4 linked regions of the Schizosaccharomyces pombe genome follow. The gene in region 2 interacts genetically with the main gene of each other region. Each region holds a gene or a part of one and is shown on either strand. Other genes may lie near its edges. The genes, in order: pfl9, slm1, btb1 and SPOM_SPAC1399.02.

The links.
Region 1: mutations in slm1 (region 2) and pfl9 together harm fitness more than expected from each alone (negative genetic interaction), as found in Schizosaccharomyces pombe (one large-scale study listed by BioGRID).
Region 3: mutations in slm1 (region 2) and btb1 together harm fitness more than expected from each alone (negative genetic interaction), as found in Schizosaccharomyces pombe (one large-scale study listed by BioGRID).
Region 4: mutations in slm1 (region 2) and SPOM_SPAC1399.02 together harm fitness more than expected from each alone (negative genetic interaction), as found in Schizosaccharomyces pombe (one large-scale study listed by BioGRID).

Annotation. Positions count from the first base shown.
Region 1 is NC_003424.3:5,525,424-5,529,725, forward strand, and holds pfl9 (DIPSY family glycoprotein), read left to right. Parts: upstream 1-2,268; coding exon 2,269-3,249; 3' UTR 3,250-3,536; downstream 3,537-4,302. UniProt on the Schizosaccharomyces pombe protein: May be involved in agglutination during conjugation or other aspects of colony formation. Induces flocculation when overexpressed.
Region 2 is NC_003424.3:4,562,938-4,567,743, reverse strand, and holds slm1 (cytoskeletal signaling protein), read left to right. Parts: upstream 1-2,337; 5' UTR 2,338-2,353; coding exon 2,354-3,850; 3' UTR 3,851-4,135; downstream 4,136-4,806. Other genes in the region: zds family phosphatase type A regulator Zds1, read right to left, coding at 1-437. UniProt on the Schizosaccharomyces pombe protein: Effector of the TORC2- and calcineurin-signaling pathways. Mediates actin polarization via inhibition of calcineurin-dependent transcription.
Region 3 is NC_003421.2:129,407-136,380, forward strand, and holds btb1 (BTB/POZ family ubiquitin-type ligase substrate adaptor Btb1), read left to right. Parts: upstream 1-1,988; 5' UTR 1,989-2,110; coding exon 2,111-6,154; downstream 6,155-6,974. Other genes in the region: mRNA 5'-cap (guanine-N7-)-methyltransferase Pcm1, read left to right, coding at 525-1,607; sdh3 (succinate dehydrogenase cytochrome B subunit), read right to left, coding at 6,551-6,974. UniProt on the Schizosaccharomyces pombe protein: Probable substrate-specific adapter of an E3 ubiquitin-protein ligase complex which mediates the ubiquitination and subsequent proteasomal degradation of target proteins.
Region 4 is NC_003424.3:1,844,910-1,850,527, forward strand, and holds SPOM_SPAC1399.02 (transporter), read right to left. Parts: upstream 3,237-5,618; 5' UTR 2,982-3,236; coding exon 1,212-2,981; 3' UTR 739-1,211; downstream 1-738. Other genes in the region: SPOM_SPAC1399.06 (uncharacterized protein), read right to left, coding at 5,075-5,449.

The sequences.
Region 1 (4,302 bases), 960 kb from region 2:
ACCGTTTGTACCTAGCGGGTAGGTATCACACGCCGTTCCCGTGGGTCCAGATGACAGAAGTGACGGGACTGCTAAATATAGCGGATCGTTTTTTAACGATGAACCTTTTTCTTATCCGAATTTCGAGCTAAACAGCTAGGTATTAGGATTTAGTGAAGTTTCAATCTTTGGACGTACTTTAACGGGAACACAATTGAATTATGGATTACAGTGGGATACTTAAGTTCAAGCTTTGAGAAAACGAGGAAAGGCGTTAATCCTTTGTATTGACAATAAGAAGTGATGCTCAAGAAATAAGTTTTAATGCTAAGTTGATTGAACTGGTCAATTAATATTTGATAAATTTTTTCAATCTTATTGTAATTTGATGCATTAAGGTTCGTATAAACAGCTTTTCGATAGTTTGTGAAATAAAATGCAGAAGTACTCAGTAGTCTGTTACAGAATTTATGTTTTTGGTGTTATTTGAAGACAAAACCTTAATGGATTCGTTTTATACCTGTAAATATACTATCCAATTCTATCAAACGTACTTAAAAACAAATACCGATTCATAGAATTTGTTACGATGAAATATTTCTAATAATAGTATACTAATTGCAAATAATTTACCAGGTCCAAAGTCATTGATCTGGACTATATTGACATTCCAAATATTAATAGTATGTCTTAGCGTATATAAAAATTAAGAAGACTTCAACGCTAAGTATGGATTCAGCTCTTTATTTTGTTATAAAAAAATAACTCAATGCTAAACAATAAAATAGCCGAGCAGTTTTCAATTAAGAATTGTCTAGCGAAATTTCATTAAACAACCTAAATCATATGGAGTTTTTTTCTTTTTTGATATTTGGCTCAGGCAAAGAAGAAAAGTTAAGAGTGGTATTTCTTAATAAATTAATGTCTCAAAAAAGGAATAAATTTTTTTTTTAAAATGCTAAATTTTAAACGTCCTCAGTTGCATAGATGAACTTTAAATGATAAGCGAACGAAATGCAATCGATAAATCATTGTCTCTTAGTAAAGTGTTCGGTTAAAATGACTGACATTTCGTCCGAAATAATATCAGTGTAAATATCATGGGAAAATTTCGTGTATTTCTTTATTTGGAATGCGCAGCAAAGTATCAAGAGAATAATTAGTGTTTTATATGATTTAATTTTATTGCCGGTACAATTGTATGGTTGTTCTGATAAATATACATGCTTTGTCGGTTTATCACTCTGAATAAATTTGTGATATATATTGGTTTATTTATTCAATCTATGTATCATGTAGTTGATGCTTTCATTTTTTTCATAATTTTAAAAATATCAGTTAATCATTTATTCAGCAACTGTAACGTTAAATCATTAATATATATATCTATATCGGCATGCATTAAGTTGCTACCGTTAAACATCTTAATTAAAACTAGTCTTTTATAATAACTAACTCTTTAATTTTTTGAAATTAGTTCAATTTACTGTGGAGGGCAGTCGATTGATAAAAGCTTTTCGATTCACTTGTAGCTTTAATCGGTGCTCGTTGCATCAATATTGGTTTATATAAGCCAAAGCTTTCATGGCTATTAATGAGTGATGCCGGTTTAACTACTCTAAAATGTTTTGAAAATGATAGGTATGTTTTGATTTGCTTCATCTTTTTATTTCAGTATTAACAACCTAGTAATTAAAATGTTAACAAAAAAATTTGACTACCTTTTCGAATCACATGTTTTCAGTGCTAAGTTGCCTCCAGACTGTCTGCAGTGAGTATAGGTGTTTTATAAGAAATTTGCTACATAGTATCAAATCAATAATATGAATGTAGTTTTATCAAAAAAATATTCATTAAGGCGACTGTACTGAAAGAGAAGTAGGTTAATAATAGACTCTTAAGAAAATTAACGAGAGGCGTCAATTTCTGTTGCTAGCATATATTGCGAACTCGATCGGTATGTGAATTACTACGAAAACATGCGAGCCGCGTTAACAAATGTGCATTGCCTTGTCTTAAAGTAACTAAGTTTCTCAGAAGCAGTATAAATAGTAGACTACATTAATTTCGAAGTTCCGATAATGATCTTTTTATAGAACTCAAATTTTTTAATTTGATATTGAGAATTCGAATAAAAATAACTATGGGATTAACAATAAGGGGGTTTCCGAAATTTTGGGTACTGGTTTTATATGCGCAGTTTTTGTATAAATGAACAGGCCTTCTCACACGTCTTTTCGGTTCATATTTAGCGATCAGAAGTCGTTAAAAATTTTTCTCCTATAAACAATGAATGTGGTGAAGTACATAATTTTTAGCTTTGCTCTGGCGCCTTTGTTATTAGTTAACGCGAACACATATAATTTTACACAGATACAAAAGCGAAGCGTAAACCAAGCTGTTCTTGAATCAAGTCAAGATACCAATTCAGTAGGCGGTGAAGCTTCTTCAACAGCTTGCCCTTTATTCACTACTATTTACACTAATGGTATAACACCGGGAACTACAACGATTTATCCAACATCTATCTCGACATCTGGCGTATCTAGCAACAATATCGATGAAACTTCGGTATCCTCTGAGTCTATCATCACATCCACTATTACGACTACTATAACATCTGGTTCGCAACTCTATACTACTACCATTACCGGTCAAAACACACCTGTTGATACCGTTGAAGTGGTAATCCCTACTGCTGGTACTTTCACAACTACATTGACTTCTGGATCCAGTTATCCTGTCGCAACAACTACAGTGCGAACAGCTTCTGGAACACAGTCAGGTGAAGTGGAGGTTATCACACCGTCCTGTGGATGCAGTCCTGAAAATTCATTCCATCTTAAAATAGACAATGATAAAATCAGCCCTTCCTACGTGTACATGGATCCAAACGCACCCGTGAGAACTAATGGTGCCGGTCGAGAGGGGAATATGTTTGCTTCAACTAATGGAGACAACGAGGGACTAAACCTTTTCTACTATGATTCCACTATTCAACGAGTATTAACATGTGATTGTCAAAGACCGTCTTACACTGTATACATTGAAGATCCAATTATAGGCAATGGTTTTTCAAGTGCTTGGAATCTCATTAAAAATAGCGATGGCATATTTACTCCTGTTGAATCAAGAAATAATGAGCCACTACACTTTCATGTAGATAACAATGGAAGAGTATGGATGACTTCACAAGAATATGATACAGAAGTTTCATCAACCGACGAAAGAAATTTTAGGGCCAATGATGTTACACTTCAACTGTATTAGTTGAAGCAGCAAATTTAGAATTGCACATACTCTCGTTTAATTTTTTGTATTTCAGGTCATACATATAATTTTTTTTACATTCATTTGATATAATATTTTAAAATTACAATCCATGAAATCCTTTATCAATCCCTATTGAAGATGTCAAGAAGTTGACTTCCTCGGATTTCATATTTTTCTCAAGTTCTGCTGTAAACTGAAAATAGGGATATTTAAATAGTTCTTAATTATTTTTTCCACTAGAAATTGATTGCTCTACTAATAAAATACTGTTCCAAGTTATCGGCACAATTATTACTTTCGTAAACAAAATTTGTATTTTATTTATTTTTTTTTTTTTTAAATTAATCATAACTAGTGGTATTAGGAATGCATATTTTAATCTAAGTTCAAATTAATTGCTTTCATAGTAATCATTGATATTTGTTAAATAACTAGGTTTAGGTAAACCGTACTAAAATTGAACAGGAAAGGATAAATTTTAGTAAATTTTGTAGATTATGCTTTTCGTAAAAAATAGTGGTGGCCGGTTTTAAAGATAAGTTTGGATAAACTGGTTATAATTTCCTTAAGTGAAATTTAATCACTTAAAAAAATATTAGATCTAAATAGTAACTATAGACAAGTTTTGTATAAGGAAAATGACAATTAAAGATAAGGAGCTAGACTAGTCTAGCGCTTGTTTTGAGTTTAATATTAGACCATTCAGAATTTTTTTACTCATTATTACTAAAAAAGAAAACTTAAGCAAGAATTTAAATTGTGGAAAGTCTCTTTTACTTATTAATAATTGTAAGCAATAAGGATAAGAAAATCAAAACAGTTTTTTTTAAAAATGTTTCTAAATTTAAAAAAAAATCTAAACCATATGCTGCGTTGCCTGTAAATAGTGTATCTAGGTCGGATGAGATTATTGTTTTCAACTTTATTTCTTCGTTTTGTAAGAAATGAACTATATTGTTGTAGAAATAGAATAACGTTACTAATCTCTTGAATATGGGTTAAAAAACAAAATTCACAATAATTAGAAAATTTTTTACCTTTTTATAGTTT
Region 2 (4,806 bases):
TGTGTTAGAGTTTTCCTCTCTTTATCCAACTCTTCTTCAGACATCCCATCATGAATTTCCGAAAAAGAAGGGACAGATGACTGAGCATCAGAGGAGGAATCCTCATCATCGGCAGCTTCGTTACCGCTAGAAGTCTCCGCTTCTTCTGTGGTATCGTTTTCATTGTTGTTTTCATTTGATATTGTGATATTTTGATCACTCAATAAGTTAGCTTCATTATCAGGGCTCACCAACTTCGAACGAATTTCTACCGACGGATCATCTGTTGAGCGAGTTAAAGAGGAATTATTCTCAAGTGGTTCAGATGAAGAGCCAGATAGCTGGGTTGTGTCATGTTCATTACATTCAGTAGATTCCTGAGAAGCAACGAAAGCAGGATCTTTAGGGTCACTTTTAGTCTCAATGGATAGAGTATTAGAAACTGAAGAACTAGACATTATTTTTTATTTAAAAGGAAAAAGAAAAGAAAGAGAACCAATCAGTTGAAAAAATAGTTTGACAGAATTAATCAAATAAAAAAGAAAGAAAGGAATCGTATGCCAAGTTTGTGAGAGAATTAAAAAAATAAGAAGAAATAGGAAGTTAAGTTGCAGAGGAAATTGAAGTTGCAATGCTCTCAAAATGTATCCTAGAAATGAACAAGTTGAAAATATTTAATGAAAAGCAAAGTAAAAACAAAAAAAGAAAAAGGGGCAAATCAAAGGATTTGAATAAACAAGTACTTTATTATACTTTAATTTGAGAAGAAAGAAAGAAAAGTAGAATAAAATGGTTTCAAATATTATTTACAAAGGAAAATGAGACACCCCAATACGTGAGTAATAATCACAATAGGTCTTCTTTCAATCTTCCCACCGTTGCCAATCCGTATTTGCGAAACAAAAGTCCAGTTTTTTTTCGTTTTTAAAAAAAAAAAGGAAAATAAATAAAATGTTCCAATTCTAGTAAGGTTGGGTACTAGACGGATAATTCGTCAATACAAATCAGAAAATAGCCTTTGGCCGCATGGAATAGCTTTATGGAAATAACAGTTTTCAACTAAGGAATTTAAAAAGCAATTTCATGAACAGATCCGCTCAGAAACAAGCACAGCCGACCGTCCGTCAAACAGCACAGCAACAATGGGGCGCCTTGGAATATTAAAGTAATTTAATTAATTACTCCGATCAAAAAAGGGAAATGAAAGAAATGCAAGAAAAACACCTCAATGATTAACAAAGCGTAGAAAGGAATAATTTGGAAAAACAAACAATCCGAGTTTCATACAACACTGGTTTTCCCAATACAGACGAAGTAAACACACGAGATTCAAAAACGAAATCAAAAAAGTAACTTCTTTTTTTTCACAGCGAATGCTATTCCCTCCTTCAAGGGTAAAATACGAACTATGCAAATGTTTGGGTGCTGGAAGGATGCTCTGGAATACCAAGACACCTTTATTGCATCTCAGCAGCTTATAGTGCCGCAGCGCAATCGTCCTTCATCACTTGTGTCGAAGACTCGTACAATTTATATAACGCAAAACAACGAAGTACAGTATTAGAAAATGTAAACAAAAGGTACTTTAGTGTATTAGGTTGGATAAGTTGAGTAGGAAAAAAAAAAGAGCTAAAACCTATCTATGTTTAATTTCTTTCATAGCGTTATTTTTTTAGTAAAAAATTTGCAATATGAGTGCTTAGCGACATAGAAAAATGGCGAAAATTCGACTAATTAAGTATTTTTGAAAAGGAGTACAAAGTATAATATTTATATTTTCTGACCTCAAAACTTGATTTCTACTAGTTCCATCATTCTTCCTGCTTTTCCCTATTCAAAGAAAATAGACATATTTATCCAGTCCAACGGAGGCAGTTTCTTGAGTTACTTCCTTATAGCAGAACCAAAGAAATTGAAACGTTTGAATAAAAGAAGAAAAACCTTTTCCTTGGTTCAAACTCCCTATCAACTATAATTTCCCAATAATGTATCAATTGCTCATTAAAGGTACAAAATACCTATGTTCCCAAGCAAGCACCTATTGTTTGCCATAACTAACGAGCATATCAAGCCTTTGTTTGATGATGGTCGATAATTTTATAAATATACAAGTCGAACATACATTGCAAGTTCAAATTTTGCTTCACCTGTTTCTTTGACATTTTTTCTTAAGCACTGAATGTTCTATTTCCAACAAAACCCTTTACTTCAAGTACCACCAATTTCCTATTATGAGTTACGTTAAACAGAATACCAACCCAGAACATTTATATCGGTACAGCAAACCCCTTCAGGAGGGTGATTGGCGTCATACGAGCAGATCGTTTTCTTTAACAAGTTCCAAGTCAAAAAAGCTTCACCAAGAACCAACAAGATGGAACTTTCAGGGAAATCGGAATTTCCAACCAGGACGGAGATTCCAAACCAGGCTTCAAACGGAGATGCAGTCCCAAACACAGACGCATATATGGGACTTTGCAACTCCTTGACTTATCGGTTTGAAGGATGGAGACATTTGGTGGAAAATCTGATTGCATTCTTTAAGCAATTAGAGTCAACGTCAAAAAACAATGCAAAGGAGTATATGAAATTGAGCAAAGTTATTGTCCATCCTTACAAAGATGCTAATGTATTTGAAGAACACGGAATTCAAGATATTTTTGCAGCGCTTCGAGACCAAACGGCTGCCATCGCTTCGGATAGCGAGCAAATATCTATCCAGTTGCCAGGTACTATCATCAATATATTAGAACTTCTTCGTGAAGACCTTCGTGAACACTGTAAGAAAATCGCAGCGGAAGGTACAAAAGGTGTGAAAGTAGTTGAAAAGCAGCGTGCGGAAACTCAAAAGTATCTTTCCTTACTAGATCGGGCTCTTTTACCATGGAGAGCATCCAGTCCACCTACTGTAAACATTAAGAACGACCCTTTTATTGTAGATAGACAAGTGCTAAACTGTTTGGCTCGACAAGTTCAAGAAGAGAACAATCACTCCGTAGCAGTGGCACAGCTTCAAGAATTTTCTTTTCGTTTCGAGCAAAACCTTATCGCAAAAATTAAAGACACGGTTAAGCAGTTTGAGGGCATGATGAATCAAACCCATGTCAAAGCTATTAATCACCTCCAAGAAGTTGTTCGCGTATCAGAAGCACAAACCCTTGCTGGCGAGTGGACCGGATACGCAAAGCGTGAGCCGGAATTTATTCATGGCTCTGTTCCCCCCCGCAGCGTTGATGCTATAAAATATCCTGGTAAGAATGACCAACCCACTGTACCTATCATGGCTGGTTATTTAATTCGTAAAACAAGTTTTTTAAAGAAAAAACAAAGAGGTTTTTATGCCTTTACACATTCTGGCTATCTTTACGAATTTAAATCTTCTGATTCACTTCAAGATCCTGAACCCGAATTCGCCCTTTACATACCTGATTGTCTGATCGGTCGCCCTTCTGAGAAGAAACCCAAGTTTAAAATAACTGGCAAGGATGCTACTAAGAAAATTTTTGGCGCGCGAAACGATTACGCGTTTCGCGCTTCTAACAACACCGAACTAATGAGATGGTGGGAAGCGTTGAATACCCATATTGCTAATGTGAACTATATACAACCTTTAAGCAACGCAAATGGTCCATCAGCTGTTTCCGACAGTGATGATGATGATGATGATCCAAATGACTTCCGTCCAGCCGTCGAGCGTCAAAGTTCTACGATGAATACCCGTATGTCGCAACCAAGCTCTGCTGTCAATACAAATCGAAGTTATGGTTCGGAACAAATTCCCTCATACGCAGATAGCCAAGGAAATTCTGGCGCCAACAACAACTTTATTTACAACGCTAGTGCTACTGGTCATAATGCTTGGAATGTATAAAGATTGTATATTCGCAAATTAGGTACGAAATGTGCTCATGTATATTTGTTACACTGCCGTTGTGTTTTAAATGGCAGTCTTTGTAACTCCCCCATACCCGTCTTAATTGTATCTTTTTGATTCCCGTTTAAAGCACTTGAATGTTGATTGTGAACCATTTTACTGTTACTGTAATGAATTCATGATAGTGTTTCTTGATATATAGTGAACTTTTGAAACACCAGTCAACAAATATATAGGTATTATATATAAACTCAGAATAAATACATTTTCTGTTCACCCATACCTGTGGCTGATGACTGTTTCAATCGGGAAAGTTACTTTTTAATGTAGCAGGTTTCATTCCGATATATCTCAACCGCTCGTTTCATGTTTATTAATTTAGCAGCTGGGATGATGGTATATACCTTGTAAATAAAGTGCCTAACATACTTTTATTGGTTTTTGTGAATTAGCTGAGCGCGTTAGTGAAGTAAATTCCCTTAATTATGAAAAGTACTTCTATTATTCCTTATTGGCATTATTCTTTTAATTGGAAACGGAAAACTGAAGAATTGTATTACTGTTTATAGCATTTTCGGTACTTTCTGGACAAATTTCGAATATACTCGTGTTCAAACCCGAGAAAAATATTTTCTAGATTTTTATATTATCAAAGAACACTAATTTTAATTGAGCATTTCAGGATTTTTGAAGTTGATCGTTTAATTTATCACAGCTATCTTGATATGTGTAAAATGAAAGTATTTATTACTCTTTTCATCCTTTCAAAAATTTTATTAATTAATTTACTTTCTATTGGAAACGAAAAGGTTAGCATCGTTTGCTGTAAGCGCAGGTTGAGAATAATTACGTCGATGCTATAATAACGAGCGAAACTCTAACTTTAAAAATCATCTCGCTTAATGAATTTCAAGGTAGCAAAGATTGTAAATTCGTCGAAATTTGCTAAACAA
Region 3 (6,974 bases), on a different chromosome or scaffold from region 2:
TTAATAGGTAAGCAATAAGCAATTTAATGAAATATCTACTTTATGTATCTATCATTGTTTTATGATTACTTCTTGTTGCAATCTGGCAGTAGTAGATTAGTCGCCCAAAATTTCAAGTTTTGTTTATTTATTTATTTAGAAGCAGGTTCGTTTTTTATATGTAAACTAAATTTGGCTGAATTGAAAACATTGTCAACAAATTATATATATCTTAGCTGTGGTAATGTAAAGAATCTGGTAATCCACTTCGTATTGCAACATCTACTTTTCTCGCCAGTATACCAACCACACTGCAACCTCATGCTATTGAATATAGTCTAATTTCTCTAAGACAGTAAAGCAAGTTTTAAAAGTCATATGTTTTTGATCTTTTTTAAAGAAGTTTCTGTTTTTTGAATTATTTTGAAGAAAATTATTTGTATGTAAGTTTGTGATCGATGGATAGTCATCATATGATGGAAAGATCGTTAACCTTTGAAAGAAACTATTCTCATTTATTTATAATAATATTTATAATAAGAGATATGAGCAGCTCGAACTCCCGAGTGCATGAGGAACAGCCTCCAACAGAAAATCGCAGATATGCGAGACCTACTGCACAAATGAATCGAGTAATTGAACAACAACCAAGGCGTCGCGATTACTTCCAAAACAATGACAACTCTGGTCGCAGAGGTTATAATAGGCATGAAAACAATGGTAATGCGCAGGATGTGGTACGTTCACACTATAACGCGCGTCCTGATTTGGGTTATAAAAAACGACAATTTTCTCCTATTATTCAACTAAAGAGGTTTAACAACTGGATCAAATCTGTTCTCATACAAAAATTCGCACCCCATGCTTCTGATTATCCTATTTTGGTACTAGACATGGGATGTGGAAAAGGTGGTGATTTAATTAAATGGGACAAAGCTGGCATTGATGGATATATTGGGATTGACATAGCTGAAGTTTCCGTAAATCAGGCCAAGAAGAGATACCGTGAAATGCATGCTTCTTTTGATGCACTATTCTACGCTGGCGACTGTTTTTCTAGCTCAATTAACGAATTACTTCCCCCAGACCAAAGAAAATTTGACGTTGTTTCTCTACAGTTTTGCATGCATTATGCATTTGAAAGCGAAGAAAAGGTTAGGGTCTTGTTGGGGAACGTTTCTAAATGCCTTCCTCGTGGTGGAGTAATGATAGGAACGATTCCCAATTCCGATGTAATTGTCAAACATATTAAAATGCTTAAACCAGGAGAAAAAGAATGGGGAAATGACATATACAAAGTCAGATTTCCTGAATCACCTCCACGCTCTTTTCGACCTCCGTATGGAATTCAATATTATTTTTATTTAGAGGATGCTGTTACCGATGTTCCTGAATATGTAGTTCCTTTTGAAGCCTTTCGTGCTGTTGCCGAAGGATACAATCTTGAATTAATATGGGTAAAACCTTTTTTGGACATCTTAAATGAAGAGAAAAACTCTGAAACGTATGGACCCCTAATGGATCGAATGAAAGTCGTTGATAATGAAGGACACCGTGGAATTGGTGGACAGGAAAAAGAAGCAGCAGGATTTTATTTAGCATTTGCCTTTGAGAAGAGGGGAATTTAGTCTTTTCTTTCCTTATCCCACTGATTCACTGTGCAGACCGCATTGTAGAAAGATCTTTCACGCTCGAAAGATCAGTACAGTGGTAGAAAAAAAGATGACTTTAAAAGATGTAGATTAATTTTTGATGGCAATGACTTTTATTTATTTATTCATTTTTATGCCTTTATTCTTTCTTTTTCTGTTTTCATATATTTTATACATAAGTAACATGCTCTCTTTCATTCCAGCTTAAGCGAATAAATAAAGTATGCTCCCAGGCATATTTCATCAAATCAGATTGCCCCAAAAATTGCCTCAAATATTAAGCGATAGCTTAAATCAATGCACCTGTCGGTATTCAACTACCAGCATCCACTGCTACTCTTCTTCCATTTTTTCTTCAGCAACAGTCAAGTTAAAAAACTGGAACGTTTTAATTGATTTGAGAGAAAATTTCTTATGGAGTAATCGATTGATTAAATGATAAATTCACATTGCGCCCTTTTTTAGTCTCGATTGATTAAATGAGTCATCTGCTTTTCGCGTATTACCTTTGCAACGACATTCGCTCATTCCAAAATCTACTGAAGCAAGATGATTCAAAGGTGAAAGAGCCTAGAAAGGGTTTTTCGGAAAAGAGCGGACAAAAACTCCGTATCAACCAAAAAGATCGATACGGACGCACCGTGCTGCACATCGCCGTTTCTGAGAATAAAAATTCCTTTGTTAGATCTCTTTTGCAGCATAAAGGCATTGATGTTTTTGTGCAAGATGAAGAATCTGGATATACGGCGTTGCATCGGGCAATCTACGTTGGCAACTTGGAAGCAGCGTCTTTGCTTTTATCAAAAGATCCCTCCTTCAGATCATTGCGTATTAAAGACAAAGAAGGTCTTTCTCCATTTCAATTTTTATCACGAGTCCTTTCAAGCACTATTCATCCGGTTCTTGACTTACCGATAATAGGAAATGAACTTTATGGCTTTGGTACTAACGTAAACAATACGCTCGGAATAGCAAATGGGAAAGAACCTTCATCGCCAGAAAGAGTGTTTTTACTGAAAAACCAAACAGAGTCTCCCACATCAGGTCAACTCTTTTCCCGAGACAAAATCCTTGATGTGCAGGCTTCCAAATTTCACAGCGTCGTACTAACGGATGAGCCGTCGCAAAATGTTTACGTATGTGGTATTGGTGCTGGAGGGAGAATAGGTTTTAACACGGACGTTCAATATAACTTTATTCCTATTCCTGGTATCATTCATAAAGTTATCCAGATTTCTGTTAGTCATACCCATTCACTTGCTCTTACAAAGTTCGGAAGTATTTATTCGTGGGGAAAGAATGGTTCTGGTGAACTGGGACTTTCTAATGACGAACTGAAAAAGGATGATCCAATTCAAATTACCCCTAGGCGTATCTCTGCATTCAAGGATTATCAGATAATTGGAATGGCGGCTGGAAAAAGTTATAGCGTTGCTTGGACTGACACTGATATTTACAGCTGGGGGTTAAATAATGGCCAATTAGGTATATCTGATCATATTTCAGTTGTTTCTACTCCAAGGAGAGTTGCTGGCTTATTATCGCCTGTCATACATGCCGTTTGTACTACTCGTGCTACGATATGCCTTTTACAAAACAACAGTATAATTGCCTTTTGCAATTATAATCAAGTGAAATTGCCATTCAACGTTGACTTTGGTAGTTCGTTAAAGGTAACTAAGCATCCTCTTTCCCTCACCAGATTTAACGTTAGAAAATTATTAGCTTCAGAAAACAAACTAGCCGTGCTTACAGAACTAGGCGAAGTCTATGAATTTGATATGAAGCTTTTACTTGATCGTGATTCTACCTCTTCCAAGAATTCCACACGAACTTCATTCAAATTTACTCCATTATGGATTTTTGAATCTTCAGACCTTGCAGCTTTAGATATTGCGTGGACCGCTGATAATTCTTTAATACTATGTACTAGAAATGGCACTTGTTGGAAACGGGAGTTAAGGTCAAAAAAGCGAGAAAAGTCATCTAGTAGCCCGTATTCTAGAGGACCATACAAATATAATAGAATTGAAAATTTACAAATGGTTGTTGGAGTCCGTGCGAGCGCTTCTGGATCATTTTTTGCAATTCGAAATGATTATCTTCCACCGCCAATCTACAAGCCTTCGAATATGTTAATTGATCTTTTGCGCTCACTACTTCCCTATGACCACCTTTTACATGTAAGACAACCACGTTTGATTCCTCCCGAAGATGAAGACGGAGTCCCTATTTTTGACGAAGACCGCGCTGCATCCAGCAATGAGATGCAGCTACTTTTTGAAGGATCTATACCGATTCTTACTAGTTATGAAAATTATAAGCAATCATTTTCTGATGTTACTATTTATTGTGGTACTTCTATGTTCCACTCACATAAGTTCATATTGTGTGCTCGATCTTCATTTTTGAGAAAATTATTGCTACAAAAAAAGAAATCGAGTGTCTCCAACATCATTTACATTGAAGAAATCACTCAATCTCATTCAACAATTAGAGTTGAAGATATTCCTCCTTTAGCGGTTGCTATTCTTTTGCATTATTTGTACACGGATACATTGCTTTCTCCATGGCATCTTGATTCACGCTTTTCACCTTTAAAAGAAAACCTTTCAAAACTTGCAAACTTACTGGAGTTACCTCATTTAGCGGAGGTTTTACCGTTTAGTGTTTCCCGCCAACCTTTGCTTTCTTTAACGAATGACATTCTGCAACTATATAATAATTTTTATGTCTTATGCGAAGAAACAATGGATACAGTAATAAAGCTTAAAGATGGAGAGCTCAAGGCACATGGTCTTTTTTTAAGTCTCCGCAGTGAATACTTTAGTTCTTATTTCCAATTTGTTTCTATGGAAAGCAATAGTTTTGACATCCCAATAACCGTCAATTTGTCTCATTTGACTGTTGAGCATATGTCAATTGTTCTTCGTCATGTATACAGTGACTTAAAAGTTGAGCTTTTTGACGATTTGAAAGAATCCGATTTTCATAATTGGTTGGAAACTATGTTCGAAATTTTGTCTATTGCAGACGAGCTTCTTTTTCTTGAACTAAAAAGCATAGCCCAGCAATCCTTACTTCGCTTTTTAAATTTGAAAACTCTACCTACTCTAATGGATCTTTCACTTAGTTATCACGCTGAGGAGCTTTATTCACGATGTATTGATTATGCTTGTCACAATATTGAATTCTTTTTGGAAGCAAATCGTATAAGTGAATGGGATGGTTTCCATTTAAAAAAAGTCGCTCAACGTTTAACTGAATTGCTTTCTGATCAACGAGTACATCTTCCTTCTAGCAAGATTGCTAATAGATTATTGATAAGAGATCCAGTGTTGATGGAAAAAAGAAATTATGAGCTTAAAGTTCTCAGAGAATACTTGTTTTCCCAGGAAAGTTCTCAATTATGGGACGATTCCCCTTATCGGTCTATTTTTGAAGATCGTCGATGCAGCACTTCAGCAGTAATTTTAGAATCTGGAATTGTTCCTTCAAGTAATCAAAGTGATTCATTAAATAAGGAAGATGCTGAGGAGAAGTCTCCTAAACCAAATGTTGTTAACGTTACGAGCATTACAAAGACAGCAGGAGCTTCTGTTGAAATTCAAAACAATATAGAGTCTGCTTCGTCAGGAGGGGATAAAACACAATTAAATGGTCCTGGGGCTGATCAACCTGTTACTGCAACAATTACTTTTGACAAAACGAGTCCATGGAGGAATAGGGAAAATCTTTCTCATAATAACAACACTACTAGAGCTAGTCTTAGAGAATTGCTGGAGCAAGAGAAAGCTGATGCTTCAACTACTACGGTTTTGTCTGATTCTAGATTTATGAAAGCTCCAACTAAAAAATCCCAACGTGAGAAAAAAAAGGAGCTTTCAAAGCAAGTGCCTATTTCCAAAACAAATGTTGGCCACATCGATATCGAGTTGGGTAAATCGAATCACTCAAACCCTTGGTCTGTAGCAACACATCAGAGGGGCAGTTTTTCGTCATCAACTGGAGTGAAAAAGTCATTTAATGGTATTCTTAGAGAGGCAGCTCGAGAGGAAGGTTCATCTCAAGTAATTTATCAAGAATCGAAGAAGCGCATTTCCAATGGTTCTCCAACTAGTTGGAACCTACTTACTAAACCATCTCCCCGATCTGCTTCTTTACCAAAAAATAGCCAACCTTTATCGATTTCGGAGATTATGACTGAGCAGAAAGAAGAAATTGAGAGTCAAAAGAGGAGATCATCTTTTAGAAAAACAATTGAGGAGATACAACAGGAAGAGGAGTTTCAAAAGTGGTGGGAGGAGGAGAGTTTGAGAGTACAGAAAGAACTTGGAATCCTTAAAACTGAAAGAGATACCTCTACGAATAGAAAACAGGGACAAGCTTCTAAACAACCTCAACGAAGGCACAGAAAGGAAAAAGATTCCAAAGTGTCAGAGTCCACTGCGGAGTTTAAATCTCTTCCTATTGATATACCAAGGACTACTCACAAGAAAGGAAAAGCACGTGCAGTCAAATGACCATAACAACGACTATATACAAAAAATTCAGGACATTAATTTATTCAACTTATGAAGAGATACTTTAATAGATATGTATAAGAAAAAATATTTGCTACATGGTGAATTATTTATTAAGCTTTTGTTTCACGATACCAATCACACATTTTACATACGCTAAAAATTCAATATTTGAAAATAATAAAATTGAATAGGAAACTTTGGTCATAAAGAAATTCAAAGCACGTACGGAATGAATACAAGAATTCGATATACACGGTAATTTATAGTGTATCAAGGACAGATCCAATTGTAGTGGAAAAATTATAGGAGAAATGATGCTGCTTCGTAAATTCACTAGAGAAACCGTGACAAGCAATTACAAAACGAGCAAAGATAAGGTTTGTTTCCATTCACCTAAATCATCGCAAAATAGCCAGAGGTCAAAACGGAAAGGGCAAGAACAGCATAACCGGTACGATAGACACCCTTTAGACTTAACTCCTTGGTGGTATCCCAGATCAAGTGACGAATACCGTTAAAAATGTGGAAAGTCAAAGGATAAGAAATAACAAACTTAGCAGGAACTTTGATCCAGGTGGGAACTTGCTGAATAAGACCAGAAATGGTAGCTGTATCCAAAGAGTATCCAGCGAGAGGAGCCACCAAGTAGCCCATAGCGAAAGCATAAAGAGTACCGGCGACAACACAACCAGTGATACGATGTAAACTGGATAGATACCAAGTCAATTGAGGTTCATAGATAGTCAAATGAGGAGAATTTGGACGGTGAACACGCTGGGAAGCAAGACGAGAATTAGCCTCCGTCTGGGTCAAATGT
Region 4 (5,618 bases), 2.7 Mb from region 2:
TTCCGGATCCAAAAGAAACGGATAGATGCAAACAATGGTGTCGAAAGTAATGTCGACTCCTACAAGAAACTAATTAGTCGTATCAAAAATTGATTTTGATAATTGATGAACTTTGCTTAGGTTTTATAGTTAAACTAGTTTGCTTGGAATAGGTCGATAACGGGTCGTCCATTTCGTCTTTCAATATAACAAGCTATTAACTATACTTGTTTTCATTCATTTTTTTTGATAGGAAGCTCACCGCGGCAAGCCTTTTTGTAGTTTTCTGTTGATTTCGTGGTTTTGTTGTCGCATCTATTTTTTTGAGTTTAAAGTTGTCAAGATAAAAATAAGGCCAGCAGTTGAACACATCGCTTAATCTTATCAGTTAGTTTTTCACGTAAGTAAAAAGAGTTTTCGACGAAGATTCTCAAGTAGTGTTTTGGTTTTAAATTTTTCTAAAAAGAAATGATATTAGAATGCCGCGCTTCAAACGGCTTGTTCCACCAAAAAGGTATAGTCTCAGAAAGTGCGATGATTTTTTTATCCATCGTTACCTTGTTCGGGAATGCTGCTACGGTCTGCGCAGTATGAAAACAAGTGAACAACTGATCAATCAGTAAACATAAGAAATCCTTAGTTGCGCAGTTTAGAAAAGATGCAACTATAGCACCTTTTGCAAGCAAAGCAATTGAGCTAGGAAGAGATAAATGATTTTATTAAAAAATATTAAAATTAAGTAAAGAGTAATCCCTACACCGTAAACCAAAATAAAAAAGAAAGAGAGAGGGAGAAAAACTAGTAAACATTGTTTGCGACAGATCATGGCAGTAATCATGAATTTTTAACACTTTTAACTCCTTATGGCGAAAGATTTTGTTTTAACATGCAATACACTTTAGCTCCCTGCCTCTAATGCGAAATGAAGAAATGTAGTGTAAAAACAAAAAGCAGATTAATTATTTTTGTAAACTTATCGAAGAAAAAATCATTAGCATACAACAATATCAGAAAAAAATTATAACAATCAAGTTCGATCCTTGGTTAAAAAAAAAAAAACCGAAACAAACATTAAACACTAGTAATAGAAAACACAATGTTTTTACCAGTCAAACGTAGATAAAAAAAATCAAGTAAATAGACAATGACCTTATTCTGCAATGTAAAGAAAAATAAATTTAATAAACAGTTGTTTTGGGATTCTTCAACAAAAGCTTTTTAAAAAATAAGTTTCAAGGAGCATCTTTAAATCCCTTATCCTTTTCTTTGTACTCCGTGACGCTTTGAGATAATTTCTCTTGCTTTGTAAAAAACGACAGAAGCATTCCTACTCCTGCAACTGGACAATTTACAATCCAGATTGTACGAATGGCATTAGCATAGACATTGAATACAAAGTTTCTCTCGCTTACGCTGGGAATTGAAGCAATTTGAGAGTATGAAAGCCCTGTAGAATATTCCGTTCCTTTTAGAAGTGTCGTAAGTTGCTGATCATAAATTACCGCTCCTATCGATATTCCCACAGATGCACCCATATTCCTTAGCAGCATAAATGCGGAACAAGAAGTCGCCATCAAAGCAGGAGGTACAGAAGCCTGAATAGCAATAAGATTGGGTTGGAACAGGTTGCCAATTCCAACAGCTGTCAAAGCCAAGAATCCCATGGTACGTGGTATAGGTGTGTCATAGTATATTGCGATCATACTACCGGTACCAGCTAATAAAACTATCCATCCTCCAATCATTGGATATCGATAATTTTTCAATTTTCCTATTCCCATACCACTAATGGCAGAAACAACTGAAGATACAACTGCCAGAGATAAAGTATGAACACCAGACATTAACGGACCATCACCCTTGATGCTTTGAAAGTAGATTGGAATGTAATAAGTCACAGTTGACATGATATAATAATGTAAGAAGGAGGTTACCATCACAGAAGATAAAGAGAGTGTTTGAAACGCCGAGGGAGCAATAATTCTAGTGCGGGTGGTATAAAGTTCATTGACGACAAAACCGGCAATGCAAAGGATACCAAAAATTAAATAGCACAAGACATTGGCATGGGCCCAATGTCCTGTTGTAGATCCGATGTTCAAGCCAAGTAAAAATAACACAACACCAGTCGTAATGGTTACAATGCCCACAAAGTCAAAATCACGTAAAAACACGCAAAACGAAACTGTAGGCTTGGGTACAAGATTGAGGAAAAAAATCAAGAGTGCAAGCGAAAGACCACCAGTAGGTAGATTAATGAAGAAAATCCAGCGCCATGTAGTATTCTGTGAAATTGCACCTCCAATTAAAGGACCCATAACAGAAGCAACCCCCCAAGTGACTCCCATACAACCTGTGTAATAAGGTCTGGTCTGTAAAGGAGTAATGTCAGCTATAACGATTGTAACTAAAGACATAATACCCCCACCGCCGATGCCCTGCACAGCACGGCATAGTACAAGCCAAAGCATATTTTGGGCAGCACCACACATGGCACTACCGAAGAGGAAAAGAACAATGGAAGTATAGAGGACAATTTTCCTACCGACTACTTCACTCATAATACCACAAAATGGAAGGATAGATGTTTCTGCCAATGAATAAGCAGTACCAATCCACGAATACGATGAACCGCCGTCGAGATTTGCTACAATAGTGGGAATAGCCGTAGTAATGACGGTTTGATCCAAGGCAGCCAAGAAAATCGACAACATAAGTCCTGGAATAACGATGTACAATCGATTGGAGGGCAACACAAGGGTGAAATCAGGAGAATCATTTTTTTCAGACGAGATTTCATGGGTTGAAAACCGAGACTTTAGAGAACCGGCACCATAAATTTGATCTTGATTCTTGAAAGAAAAGGCTTTCGAGTTTATAGACTTTATTTCGTTTGCTTCATCAAGCGCAGTTGGATACCAAGCTACTTCACTGCCTGTGGTATAGAGTTGTAAACTCTTTGGGGAGGCCAAATTACGATTTGGAGAAGTAGAAGGATTCATTATGTTTAGTAACTTTATAACACAAATACACTAGGGAAAAAAATCCGTAAGGAAGAGGGTGAATGCAGCTAGGAGAAAAAGAGATATTGCTAGGAAAAAAAATAATATTGAAGGAAAGAATATAAATAATCAAGACAACGAATGCAATTTTAATGAAACAATTGAGTAAGTCTGTTACAATCAGAAAGGGGGGAAATTTTAACTAAATCACAGAATAAAAACACTACTTCCAGGATGCCTAGTTTTGGTTATGGTAGAGTTTTTTTTCTACTTGCCTGGAATGAGTACGTTTTGAGAAAACACATAGATAGGAAATTATAAGGAAGGAAAATTGACGCGGCTTTAAGTGCACATATTCTTAGTTTAAAAATAAGAAAATATGCACATTAGGCCAAGTAATTACCGAGTAAGCATTTTCATGTAGAAAATTTGAATACGATCTTTAGAGGCAATATTTATACAGGATTTTTCTAACGATGGAGCAAAGGGAGAGCAAAAAAAAAAAAGCCGCGCTAATATCCGGAAAATAGGGACACTGAAATAAGGAGGTTCGTCGAGAAAAGTCTACAGAGTGTCTATGCATAAGAAAATGAAGGGAAGTCGAAAAAAGCAGGCATTTAAAAACGACGAGAAAATGAATGAAGAGTATTCCTTTTTGAGTGAGCAAAAACGATAATGCCGTGAAGAAATGAGCAAATTTACCAAGATAAGAGGATATCGGGATAGTTGATTAATATTGATATAGATGTAATGACAGCAATGTATAGTATTATAAATTTGTAATCTTTTAAAATGTGAGGAATGTAGAAATAATCGTAAACATGTATGATATTATAAAGGGAAAATAGGGGATCGGAGTAAACAAGTAAGTGAATGAAGAGAGAGAGGGTTGACAAAATATTGCATATCAATGGAATGGTTAAGCAAACATTGAAATGAGTAAGTAAGCAATGAAATGATTAAGAAAAGTTTTAATGAGTCAAAAGAATGTTTGTGGATCAACAAGGTGCTTTTGAGGGTCGATAAAGTGCTCCTTTTAAGGATTTTGTAACAATATTACAATAACGCTTCTATATGTCTTTAGTTGTACGTCTTACAAAATCTACAGCAACGATTTTTTTTATGGATTGAAAAGTGTGCGTATGTACAGGCCTGTAATACAACTCTTTTTTTCAAAGAATTGCAATGTTTATTGTACATTTGACTTTTTAGTCTGACTGGCTGAAACAGCATGTCGGAATTGTTAATGGCCTTTACCTACTATTTCCCACTTTAGCGATGCTTTATTATACACTATCCTAAGATACCGAGCAAGATGCAGAAATGCAGAATTCCCTGATTAGAAGAAAGAGAAGTGATGTTTTTAAAAAAAAAAGTGAATTCTACTCACAAACCTTTTTTTTTTTTTTTTGGGGGTTGTAAGACTGTAGCATCATATTATTTGGAAAGATTTCATCACTCACACGGTAAGGAAGGAAGGAAGAAGGGAGGTGGGTATAGCGGAAGTAGCCACCTGCACACTTGGACGAAAGGGGATTGAGTGAGGAAAGGCCCGAATTTTCGAAGGTTTGGAATTTGTCGAATGTGCAGAGGAAAAGTGCAGCTGAATAAGCAAGGTGAATCTAGGAAGGTGGGCTAGAAGAAAGTGAAAACTAAGCAAGTGTTTTGGGTATTTAGTTTTACAAAGCAAGCTGGAGAGGTTTAGAGAGGCAGTAGGTAACTCAATAATAATGCGACCGGGGGGAGGGAGGATTAAAAAAGATGGATATAATAATTTTTACTCATTTTGCGGTTCTTTTGCATATAAAGAACTTTAAACACCACGCTGTGAAAGACGAGTGACATTGATAACTGGAGTGAATGGGATTGCATCGGTCTTTAATAGATATTACGTTTTAAAGCACTACAAGCACTAGTCAAAGTTGACCATTACTGACAAGTAGCGTAGATAAACAACGTAGGTGGGAAGGGCACACTAGAGCGTATATAAGGAGAAAGAACGCATGTAAACGTTAAAGGGATATAGTGTGATGCGCTGCACAAACATTGATTAATTTATCCAACCAAAAACCACGCATGGTAGAGCGATTTGTTTACATTTCAAGGAAGCGCTCGAATGGATTGATTTTTGATATTTGAATTATGAAACAAAAGGATCGGTTGTTTGATGAGAGTAAGATTCCGTGATTGAGGAGGTTTCTAGCTTTTCTAAGTATGGTAAACCAGCAATTCCCACTTTGCATATCCTTCGTTGGTCGGAAAGAGTGGGTGAGGGTGCCTTTTTCGTTTACGTGTGAGCGATAGATAGGGGAACGAAAGTTCGCGGACTTTTTTGTCAGCAAGTCTCGATAAGATAGCGCAGTGCAGTGTAGGCGGTATGGTGGAAGGGAGGAAGAGTGTGTGTGAGAGAGAGAGAGAGACGGTATGAGAGAAGGATGGAAAAAATGGAGCAGGGAAAGCAGAAACATCGTTCGATTTGAAACAAAAGGAAAAGTATAAAGAGAGAAGAAAGTAGGAAAGTAATGAGAGTAAGAGCAGTAATAGTAACATAGGTATTGCTGGATACAATGGGATACAATGGGTAGAATGTTGATATTGTAGATGTAACTATATGTGTAAGTGTAGCTTGTCGCATAG